3 linked regions of the Oryctolagus cuniculus genome follow. The main gene of each other region encodes a partner of the protein of the gene in region 2 in a complex. Links are inferred from orthologs where the notes say so. Each region holds a gene or a part of one and is shown on either strand. Other genes may lie near its edges.

The links.
Region 1: SMARCC2 (region 2) and PHF10 share a complex: the UniProt entries of both Homo sapiens proteins name them as parts of the neural progenitors-specific chromatin remodeling complex. The link is inferred for Oryctolagus cuniculus from reciprocal best matches to the Homo sapiens genes SMARCC2 and PHF10.
Region 3: SMARCC2 (region 2) and SMARCD2 share a complex: the UniProt entries of both Homo sapiens proteins name them as parts of the BAF complex. The link is inferred for Oryctolagus cuniculus from reciprocal best matches to the Homo sapiens genes SMARCC2 and SMARCD2.

What each region holds. Positions count from the first base shown.
Region 1 is NC_091436.1:626,206-629,945, reverse strand, and holds the start of PHF10 (PHD finger protein 10), read right to left. Parts: upstream 2,246-3,740; 5' UTR 2,011-2,245; coding exon 1,735-2,010; intron 1-1,734. UniProt on the Homo sapiens protein: Involved in transcription activity regulation by chromatin remodeling. Belongs to the neural progenitors-specific chromatin remodeling complex (npBAF complex) and is required for the proliferation of neural progenitors.
Region 2 is NC_091442.1:58,970,856-58,974,495, forward strand, and holds part of SMARCC2 (SWI/SNF complex subunit SMARCC2), read right to left. Parts: intron 3,447-3,640; coding exon 3,312-3,446; intron 2,231-3,311; coding exon 1,849-2,230; intron 1,531-1,848; coding exon 1,105-1,530; intron 550-1,104; coding exon 473-549; 3' UTR 1-472. UniProt on the Homo sapiens protein: Involved in transcriptional activation and repression of select genes by chromatin remodeling (alteration of DNA-nucleosome topology).
Region 3 is NC_091448.1:14,876,715-14,880,454, reverse strand, and holds the start of SMARCD2 (SWI/SNF-related matrix-associated actin-dependent regulator of chromatin subfamily D member 2), read right to left. Parts: upstream 2,930-3,740; 5' UTR 2,705-2,929; coding exon 2,486-2,704; intron 2,098-2,485; exon of another isoform or gene 1,672-2,097; intron 1-1,671. UniProt on the Homo sapiens protein: Involved in transcriptional activation and repression of select genes by chromatin remodeling (alteration of DNA-nucleosome topology).

The sequences.
Region 1 (3,740 bases), on a different chromosome or scaffold from region 2:
CTCAGTGCAGGACCAGCAGATTGCCTGCTAAAGATCCAGACTATTATTATGAAGAGTTTACCCAGCATCTTTGTTAAATGGGAAAACACAAAATTCATTCTTTTTCAGTCCTTATAAGTGAGCACTCAATTAAAGAGCGCTTTATAGTCTAAGACTGGCAACCCTGTAGGAGCTGAATAGGCAAAAGCTATTTTCTAAAACTTTACATTTAACTAAGTACAACCGTGACACTCCATATTCAGCATTTCAGACAATTCATTTTAAGCACTTAATTTTCTTTTGTTCTACTTTACTTGCTTTGAAAGCATTTTAAGAATTCTTATATCAATTTGTTTAAGAAATTTCCTTTGGTTGGCTAAAAAACTGAGACATTCAAAACAGACAAAACTTAAATGGAAAGTCCTCAGGAAAGCCCAGGCCACAACTTCACACCCAGAGTGGAAGCGGGCACGACCTCCACACACTAAGGAAGCATCTGGGCAGCCCGCCTGTCTCCAGAGAGAAGGAGCAGCAGCAGGCCCCCACCCGCCCCTCTGCGCTGAAGTCCACATCTCACACCACCCCCGTGGACCAAACTGGAGCTGCTGCCCAGCTACAGGCCGGGTCACAGGTCACTCTCCCACCTGCAGGTGTAAGAGCTCCGGTCCCAGCTGCCCAGCACACGAGTGAGCCAGCCGAGGGATGTGTGGAGAGGGGTGCCAGGGCCACCCGAGGGCAGCCCCAGGAGTCAGCGGGGAGGAGTGAGGGGCACCTGAGGGCAGCCTGGGGGGGCACTGAGGGCAGCCTGGGGGGCACTGAGGGCAGCCCCAGGATTCAGTGGGGAGGAGTGAGGGGCACCTGAGGGCAGCCTGGGGGGGTGAGGGGCACCTGAGGGCAGCCTGGGGGTGGGGGCGGGGGCACCTGAGGGCAGCCTGGGGGGGTGAGGGGCCTGGGAGGGTGAGGGGCACCTGAGGGCAGCCTGGGGGTGGGGGCGGGGGCACCTGAGGGCAGCCTGGGGAGGTGAGGGGCACCTGAGGGCAGCCTGGGGGGGGGGCGGGGGCACCTGAGGGCAGCCTGGGGGGGTGAGGGGCCTGGGAGGGTGAGGGGCACCTGAGGGCAGCCTGGGGGTGGGGGCGGGGGCACCTGAGGGCAGCCTGGGGAGGTGAGGGGCACCTGAGAGCAGCCTGGAGGGGGGTGAGGGGCCTGGAGGGGCGGGGGCACCTGAGGGCAGCCTGGGTGGGGGGTGAGAGGCACCTGGGGGGGGTGAGGGGCACCTGAGGGCAGCCTGGGGGGGCGGGGGCACCTGAGGGCAGCCCCCAGGAGTGAGCAGCAGGGGAGGGGGGAGGAGCACCTGCGCGCAGCCCCCAGGAGCCAGGCAGGCCCTCGGCAGGGACTCCCAGGACAAGTGCAGCAGGGACACCCGGGGCCACGGCGCCAGGAGGCCCCGGCGCGCGACTCCGCGGTCACACACGGTCCCCGACTCCCGCCTGCAGCTTCCCGCAAACGACGCCAACTTGCGGCGCGGGGCGCGCAGTCCGCCGCGGGGAAGCCACCGACCGGGCTCCCGCGGCCCCAGGCGCCGGCCGGCTCTCACCAGAGGCGGCCCTCGGGACCCGGCCAACTTTCTCGGCCGCCCTCCGAGAGCGCGGCGCGGGGCAGCGGCCGCGACTCCGCCCCCGGCCCGGCCCGCCCCTCCCCAGGGGCGCCCAGCGGCCGCCGCCGGCGCCCGGGCGGGCCGCGGCGCCGCCTCCTCACCTTCGCGGACTGCGCTCCGGGGCTGGCCGGGTCGCTGTCGCACGGCCGCGGGGACAGCGCCGCCCCGGGCCCGGCCGCCGCCGCCATCAGCCCGAGCGCCCCGCGCCGCCGCCGCCGCCGCCGCCGCCGCCTCGTCCCGGCCGCCGCCGCCGCCGCCGCCGCCGCCGCCGCCGCCGCGCGGGCCGCCCGCCGCCCCGGCCCCGCCCCCTCCGCCCGCCCGCCCGGGGGCCGGCCCCTGCCGCCGCGCGCCCCGCGGCCCGCCAGCGCCGCCGCCATGGCCGCCGCCAGCGCGCCCGCCCGCCCGCCGGCCGGCCGAGGGCCCGGGCAGGCCGGCGCGGCTGCGGCCCGGAAGGAGGACGCGCGGCGGCGGGGCCGCGCGCCCCACGTCAGCCGGCGGCCCGCCGCGCTCCGCCGCAGGCGCGCTCGGTCCGCAGGCGCCCTCGCAGCCGCCGCGCGCCGGCCCGGCGTCCTCCTCCTCGGCCCGCGGCGCGCCCCACCTCCGCCCGCCGCCGCCGCCGCCTCGGCCCCCGGCCCCGCCCCGGCTCGTCGCCACTTGGCGCGCTCGCTGCCGCCCCCTCCCCGCGGCCCCCGGCCCGGCCCCTCCACACGTCAGCCCTCTCCTCCCACCGCGCCGCCCGCCCCGCGCTCCCTCTCCCGGGGGTCTCCCGCAACCCCTCCCTCCCCGCTAGGACCCGCGCCCCTCCGTCCCCCCGCCCCACCGGGGGTCCCGCCCCACCACCCTCCCTGCCGGGGGTCCCGCCCCCCCTCCTCTCCCCACCGGGGGTCCCGCCCCAACCCCTCCCTGCCGGGGGTCCCCGCCCCTATCTCCCTCCCATCCAGCCCGGGGTCCCCGCCCCCACCTCCCTGCCAGGGGTCCCCTGCTCCGCCCTCTCGCTCCCTGCCTGCTGGTGTCCCGCCCCCTCCCTGCGGAGGGTCTCCCCCCTCCGCGGCCGCCCCCTTCCTCCCCGCGTGTCGGGGTCCCGGCGCCCCCGCCCTGCTTGTGGCTGTGGCCGTGGCCCCGCGTGCAGTCGCTCGCGTCGCGCCCGTGGCCGCCGCCGTCAGCAGCCTTTGTTCTGCGTCCGCTGCGCGGTGCGGGCCAGGGACTGCAGCGCGGTGCGGGCTGCGGGCTGCGGGCTGCGGGCGGGCCCTCGGGGAGGGCGCCCTGGCCTGCCCGGTGGAGCTCCGCGCCAGCACGTGCGGTCGGAGCGCGCCGGGAGCGCCCTGTGCGCCGCGCGGCCCGGAAGGGACTCTCGCCTGGCAGCGTCGTTTTCCCTGCGTTGGCGGGGCTGTGAAACGGGGAGAGCCCGGCTGCGGGGTGATTGTAAAAGTGCCGTGCAGTGGAAGGCCCAGAAGACAACCAAAAAAAGGAGCTGTTTTATTCGCACTGAATTGATTTAGGATCCTCGGGCGCTGGCTCCACAAGGTCACGTCTAGGACTTCACTGAAAATGGAAAGAACCTTGAAAGCGCGTGCCGACAGCTGCTGAGATGAGAGCCAGAAACGAGTCCGGGTGGATTGCTGGGCAGACGCCTGTTGCCCGATGCCCAGGACTGGCTTCCGGGCACGAGGAGGTTCTTACATCTAGAGTGCGATGTGCGTGGCGTCCTTGTCAGTCACTGCGGCTGGCTACACGCCGCTGACAGATGTGGGAACACACACGGAAGGGTTGGGTGTCCCTCGCCTGAATCCAAATGCCAGCTCCCAGAGGGTGCCCAGCTGCTCTGCTCCCCCAGCTCAGACCAGCTGCCGCCCCTTGCAGAGTTCCCGAGGGGAGCCCTGTGTCCGCAGGCTGAGCAGGAAAATCTCCTGTTCCCACCACGCTTCTTCCCCCCAGAGGTCACTGATGGGGGCCCTCAGATTTCCTGGCGGGGTTTAAAGCTTACAAAAGAGAGGGGGAGATATCTGTCCAGTATTTGGTTCTGTCCTCTCCCGTGGGTACCTGTCTCTAGAACAAGGACACGTTTAAAACACCCCACTGAGCAGGCCGGCACTCATGTGTGCAGTGC
Region 2 (3,640 bases):
AGAGCGCTCCCCAGAACCTCAGTTCCCCTTTCTTGAAATTGTCATCCTCTAAAAAATGTAAGACTTGGTTACTGAAGGGAGTTCAAATGTGGCTTTTTAAAATCTCTCTACTTTTTAAAGGGCTTAATTTTTTTTAATCCATTAAAAAAATGCAGTAGTTTTGAGGGGATGCGCCCTTAGAAGTGGTTAATTAGAACCCTGGATGAGCACCTTCCGGCCCTTCTGCTGAAGGCAGCCTTCCCATCCTATCCTCTCAGAGACACAAGAAACAGCTTTGAAACAGTCCTTAGATACTCTGATATAAAAACGCATGCCCCTGCAGGGCACGGCGCGGGCTGTGGAAGGGCAGGAGGAGCTTTCCTTACGTAGTGATGAACTCTCCAGGCTGGGGAAGGGTCCCAGTGGTTGGGGGAGGGCTGTTCCTGGAACCGTGATCTCCTTGGGGGTGAGGGGGAGTTGTCTGGCTGGCTGCTCACTGTGGAGGTGGCACAGGGGTGACTGTGCCTGGGCTCGGGGCTGTGGGGTCTGGAGGCAGAGGGGTGCCTGGGTCTGTGGAGAAAAGGAAGGGGAATCAGCTCACGTGAGCAGAGAGAGGCTCCAGAGCCAGGCCACCACACATAAGCACAGGACCGGCCGTGGCATGCAGTGGTGGTGGATGATGAGGTACCTAGGATGTACAACTCCCCTCTCCCAACACCTCCTTCCACCTCATACTGGAAACACATGGATCCCAATCAGCCACCTATCCCCAAGGGAACTCTGAATGGAGCATTTGAATGTGATGGGAATGAGCAGAGGGATGCCAATCATCATGCAAACAAATAGCTGACTTCCAAGTTTACAAGGGAGATGCTCTGTGCCACAGGACTCCTCCGAGACCCACCAGGGAAAGGCCCCCACATCATCCCAGAGGCGGCAGCTGCCAGGCTGGGGAATGGTGGAGGACAGCCAGACAGGCCCTGCCTCCGGCATCCTAACTTTACCACAGTGTTCAAAAAACTTTGACTGCAGAAACTCTAGTAGCTGACCCCTTCCCCACCTGCCCTCCCCCCTTCCCTGTGGACCCCTCTCCCTCACCCTTCTCCCCTCCTGGCCCCTTCTCACCTGGCAGTGGGCTGGCACTGGGCAGGAGGTTGCCCTGAACAGCTGCCACAATGGCAGGGCTCTGGGCTGCGGCGGATCCGAGCCCCGGCCCGAGAGGCAAGGAGGATGGCATGGTGGTGGTCGCCGGCAGGTTAGGATGTAGAGGGTTCGCCATGGACACAGGCAGGTTAGGTGGGGGGAGAGTGCCCGGGGCGAACGGGAGATGGTGGTGATGCCCATGCAGGTTAGGAGGAGGGGGAAGGTTAATACTGATGGGGTCGGCTAGACTACCAAATGGGATGATGGATGGAGCAGGAGGAGGAGGAGGCGGCATGCCAAAAGGCAAACCCAAAGGAGCATTACCCGCCACGCCTGGGTGCCCGCTGCCTGGCACTGCCCCTGGCATCATTGAGGGAGGAGTTTGTTGGTTGGGGAACGGTGAGGGGCCTGGGAACAAAGAGGAGTGGTGAAGATTAGAGGCGTAAAATCTCACAGCAAGGATAATCTAGCTGCTCCCTGATGCCACCTTCCCTTCTCCTGACACTGGAATAAGTGGTTGCACTCCTTGGAACAAAACTCCAAAGATCGGGGTTTGGAGTTGGGGGGGGTCCCCTGCTGGCTTAGGGACATAACAGAGGTGCGCCCCTCTGTAGAAACACAGGCCAGTCTGTATCTCCAGGCCCCCCGCATAGTCCCCTTGGAGGGGAACTGGGACATTCACCTGGATCCCTTGAGCCAGCTAGAGTTCTGGAACCCATCACTTACCATGGGGTCCAGGGGGGGGTACCCCTGGTGGGACTGCCCCAGGCTGGGGGGCTCCAGCTGGTTGCTGCTGCTGTGGCCCTGCCGTTGACCCTGCCTGCCCAATCTGTTCAGAAGGGCCCAAGCTTCCAGGAGGGACCCCACTGCCAGCAGGAGCAGGGGCCACAGAGGCTGGAGCCACGGCCAAGCCATGGACTGCGGGTGGCCCAGCAGCCCCTGTAGGGGGGATAGGCTGGGAACCTGGGGGCAGGGTTGGCGGTGGCTGCTGCTGCTGTTGGTGCATCTGTTGGAAGTGCTGCTGCCGGGCCCTCATCTCCGCGTACTTTAGCTGCTCCATGTGGAAGGCTTGTCTGTCGGCCAGGAGCTGCTGCCTCTGATACTCCAGCTGCCAGTGCCAATTGAGGACTGTTACTCGATTTTCAGAAGATCCCTAGGCAAATGCCTCGCCCCCTGCTTTGCCGTCTTCTCAAAGACCTTGCCTCTCATTCTGGTGGTTCCCAACATCTACATTTTGTGCTTGTGCATCCTCTGTCCTCTCCACCCCACCTCTTGCAAATTCCCATGACCTTCATTGTCTCCTGGCTTCTCTTTGCAATGGAGTTAATCTGATGGTAGACTTGGCTCATTTCAGCTCCAAAGCTTTGAATTTGCCATTACTTTGATTTGGAAATCGCTTCCAGTTCCTCTTGTCAATTCGTTTTCTTCCTTCAACACTGGCTAGCGACTCACTGTCCTTAGGGAGTATCCCAGGTCAAGTCACTAGCCCCTGCGCTTGGGCTTTGTGGTGCCATTTCTCAGGACTCACACACATGATCTGAAATCTACTGGATTTCTACTACCTCTCAGCCCCTCCCCCAACTGCCTTGCTCAAAACTGAGGCTGCTCCTGGGCAGCCCTTTTGACCATGAGCCACAGGTGGTGGTGTGATTTGAATTTGTCAGATACTTTAGGCATCATTAACTGCTTTGATTGTCTTCATAATGGATATACGATGTTTCTAATTAGACTGTAAGTTCTCTGAGGGCAGAGTCCCTATTTCTTTTCAGGTGCTCTCAAAGACAAAATGGTTCAATACTTTGTTTCCATTCCCTTTCCAATTTAACATCCTGGAGCTGAAGCCCCTACACTCTCATTGCCCCTTCAACCCATTCAATCATTCAACAAATATTTACTGAGAGTTAACTATGGATCAAACACTTTTCAGGGACCTGGAGATGCAGCAAAGAACAAAACAAAACAAAACAAAACGACCGGAATGCCTGGCCCATGGAGCTGAGTCTAGGACCTCAGTGTCCAGGCTTCACGGGTGGGGCTCTGTTCCTTAACTGCACAGGGCTGGCGCCCAGGCCCTCAAGCTTTCTGCACTGCCATTTCTCTCTCACACCCCTCCAGTCCTGGACAGAGGGGCAGCTGAGTCTCCAGGAGGGTTCCAGGCTCCTGCTGAGCCCCTAGGGGAGGCCACTCACTGCTTCTCGCTCCCGGTCCATGATCGTCTCTAGCTCCTCGAAGTGCCGGAGTTTGATCTCCAACTTTTTCATCTGAGTTTCCACCAGCAGAGCCACCAAAGACTTGATCTTCCTTTCTTCGACGGCAGCTAAGTGCTGGGAGGGGGGGCGGGGGGAGGGACGGCTTGTGAGCAGCAGGACCCCGCCGCACACATCCCAGGGGAGAAAGGCAGGGCAGACATGGGCAGGTGTGAGAGCAAACTCCCTGCGGTCACAACCCACAGAAGTGTTGGCTTGGTATTTTTTTTAAAAAAGAGCAGCAAAAGATAAGACGAAGTCACATGGTTACA
Region 3 (3,740 bases), on a different chromosome or scaffold from region 2:
CTGCCGCAGCCTCGCTCCATCAGGAAGGGATTCATTAGAGCTGTTGAAAGCAAGACAACCTACTTCTCCGCTTTAATGAGCCACAGCCAGAGATGGGGGGGGAGGGGGCAGCACTCAATGTGGCCGCAGCTGTAAGCCCAGGCCCCACACATGTCCCAGACTGCAACTTTTTTTTTTCCAGTGCCTGAGACAAGGGAGCAAGCAGCAATTGCAGGGGCGAGCTAGGGCCCTGCGGTCCCCACAAAGCCACTCACTAGGGCGCTCACCAAGCCTGCACCACCACCTAGCCCTCCTGAGCAGGTGCTCCGGAGACAGGAAGTCCCAGGACAAGGACAAGGCGCACAGGCAGGACCTGGAGCAGGTCCCGTGCCGGGCTCAGGGCCCCCGGCTCACCCTGGGCCCCAGGGAAAGGCTGCTTCGCAGCTGGAGTCCCAGTTCAGCCTTGCCAAGCTCCACACCTGGGCTTTGAAGCACCAGTAATTCCAACCCCTTCAAAAAACAACTCAGGAATTCTAAAAAAAGACCTACAACCTACAGCCCAAAACTCTCACCCTCCCTGACTCCTGACATGAAACAGGGTGAGGCAGGCCTGGTGGGGCCCCCTGAACCCCGAAAGTGTGCAGTGACCGCATCACCCGTCCCCCACACCAGCTGTTCCAAGGCCGGCCCCTCTGCTGAGCCGCCAGGTGAGCACGCGGTGCCCCGCCCCTGAGCTGTGGCCCTGCTGCTCAGGGTGTCAGCGGGGCATCCTGAGTTCTCTAGAGCAAAGCCAGCACCCGAGGTTTGGCCTTGAGCTTCTCTGCTGGCGGTGACCACCAGGCCCCCTCTGGAGGGAGGGGGCATCACAGCCCTTCCTTCCACAGGCTCCCTACCTGCCCGGCGTGGGCCTCGACTCCTTGCTCTTAGCTCCCTCTGCGAGTGCTGACAGACAGGAACCCTCAAGTCCCTTCTCCTGAAGTCACACAACGGGACCTGACTCAGCCCGGGGGGCCAGGTTCCCCTTCCCATCTCTCCGGAGGGGAGGAGGACAAAGTGGTGGCCAGGAAAGCCAGCCTCAGTGCCACTCCTAGTGGCCCACAGCCACGCAGCTAGGCCTGGCCACTGCCATCCTCTCAGGGGCATGGGCACTCTTCCCAAGGGCCGCATTGTCTGTTCCAGGTCCCTCCAAGGCCAAAGGCCCAGAGGTTCCCGGGCCAGGTCTCAGCAAACAGGCCCGAGGGCTGGAGTAACTGATGCAGGGACCCCTCAGCCACACCCTGAGTCCAGGAGTCCCCTAGGGAGTAGAGCAAGATAGGAGAGGAGGAGCCCCAGCGGGGCCCCTGGGACCAGGTCTCCCTCTGCACACACCCTCACCCTGTTTTCTTTTACGAAGGAGAGGGAATAAGGGAATACAAAATTCACTGTCCCCAGTAGGCATCGCCCGGGGATGTGAGAGCTCGGGGGTCCTGGAGGACACTCCCTGAGGACCCTCTGGGACCCCTGGCTGGGAGACACAATGAGGGAAGAGACCTTGGGAGACCAGCAAGCGGCAAACGCAGGGTGCATGGGTTAGGATGCGGGGTTGTCAGAACCCGGAGGCCAAGTAAATCGGAGAGGGCAGGGGGAAAAAAAAAGACAGGTATAATTCCTAAGCATTTGGGGCAACCTAAAATAACGGACCGGGAGACCAACCCCGCAGCAGGGCCAGACCGAGTGCTCACACGCCCGCCGTAAGGACCGTCGCGGCTCTGCCTCTCGGTGGCCTTTCGCGCTGCAACGTGAGCCTCTCTCGGACGTCAACCCGCAGGCGTCGGGACAGCGCTGGGAAGCAAACTCCTGCAGCCCCAGCCCGGCTCCTCCACTCAACCTCCCGCCACCAGGACGCCGCCAAGCAGAGAGCCCAGGACACGGTCTGCGCGCGATGGTCTCTCACTGGGCTGGGTCCTCCCTCCAGCCGGCTCGCCACCGCCTCTGGTCTAACCCGGAGTCAAATCCAGTGAAAAGCTCCTGGGTCTGCCCCTGCACACACAGGCTGGACTCCCCCGGCCCCAACCTCAGCCTCCCTGGCGGTGGGAAGCCAGGCCTCCTGCCGCCTCCTTAGCAGCTGGGAGCCATCTCAGACATGCTCCAGCCCTGCCAGTTCCCAACGAGAAAAAACAGGGCAGACTTGGAACAGGACCAAGGCCAACGCAGGGTAACCCCGGTCGCGCGGTGGGAGCCTTGTCCGAAACTTTCCCATCACATCCCGGGAACCCCGGACACGGGCTGCTCGGCCACGGTTCGCCGCCTCCCACAACTCCATCGCTCAGTTACTCGCAGCGCCCGCGCCAAGGAAGCCCTCGGAGCCCCCTCGCACTCCGCCACCGCCATAACCGAGCCGCGGCCAGAGGGCCCCCGCCGGGCCCTCCCCGGCCCCAGCGAGCTCCTGCCGCAGAGTCCTGCGCCCCCGGTCCAGGGGGCTCCCCCAGGGGCCCCACTCGAGGCGCCCTCGCTCCTCTCTCCTCACCTGGTACTGCGCCGCGGGGCCCGCGGGGCCCATGGGGCGGAAGGCGGCGGCCCCAGGGCCCCCCACGCCGCCAGCCGGCCCCGGGCCCCGGAGCGCCGGGCCCGGCAGCATGCCGGGTCCCGCCGGGGGAGGCGGCGCTCCCAGGGCGGCTGCCACGGCGCCGCCGCCGCCAGGGCTCAGCGGGGGCAGCGGGAACCCGCCCGCGCCACGGCCCGACATCGCTCCGTCCCGTCCCGGCCTCCGGGCTCCGCGTCGAGTCCGCTCCGCGCGCTGCGCTCCGCGATCCGGGACTTTCCGATCCTAATTCCGGGTTCCGGGCTTTGTGGATCCGGGATCCGGGATTTCCTAATCCAAGTTCGCGAGTTCCTTTCTGGCCTGGTCTGGGCCAGGGCCGACCCCGATTCCGCTCCTGGCCCGGGAGATTCCGGATCCGGGATAGGCTGCGGGCCCGCCTGCCGCCCCCGGCCTCGGGAGGTTTGGCCACCAGAGTCCGGTTACCCAAAGGCGGCGACTAACTCCCGGCCCCGCCCCACCCAGGCAGCACTCGGCCCCGCCCCTCCCTCGCAGTCCAATGCGAGACTGCCTCCTCAAATCCCGCCCTCGCGAGACGCACCCCTAGCAGGCACCGCCCCTAACCGCCGGCCTAGGGTACCGCCCACAACCCGTGGGCCCGCCCTTCGCGGAGAGGCGGGAGCGGAAGTGCGAACGGAAGTGCCGAGTGAGGCGGGGGGTCAGAAGTCGAAGGTCAGCGAGGTCCTGGGCTCTGCTAGCTCGGGTGTAGCCACTAAAGCGGATTAGTCCGCTACTCCCCCTCAAACTACTTCTGTTGAGTCTTTATACAGTTCAGCGTTGAAGACTCGGCCTGGGGCCGCCCTCTGACCTGGACGGCGCCAGGCCCAGGCCAGCTGTGTGAACCGTTGACTTGGCCTAGCGCCCGGTTCTTATCGCACATTTTTAACATGGCTCTGTCTCATTTTAAAGAAGCCTGGTACTTGACTCCACAGGAAATGGTTCTCGGCGAAGGAAATTTGCCCTGAGAAGCGCCCCCCCACCCCCCAGTTAAACAAGTTCTGTCTCCAGTATTTATAGCACTTTATCTTCAAACGTTCGGTACTACTGACCTGTATCAGAAGGTATTCCAAATAAACGCTTCAGCTGTGCCAGGTTCCTAACCCGCCCCCCACCCTCATGTGGGGTCTCCCCAGGACATAGACCAGTGCTTAGACTTTAATGAGCATACAGCACACCCGGGCTC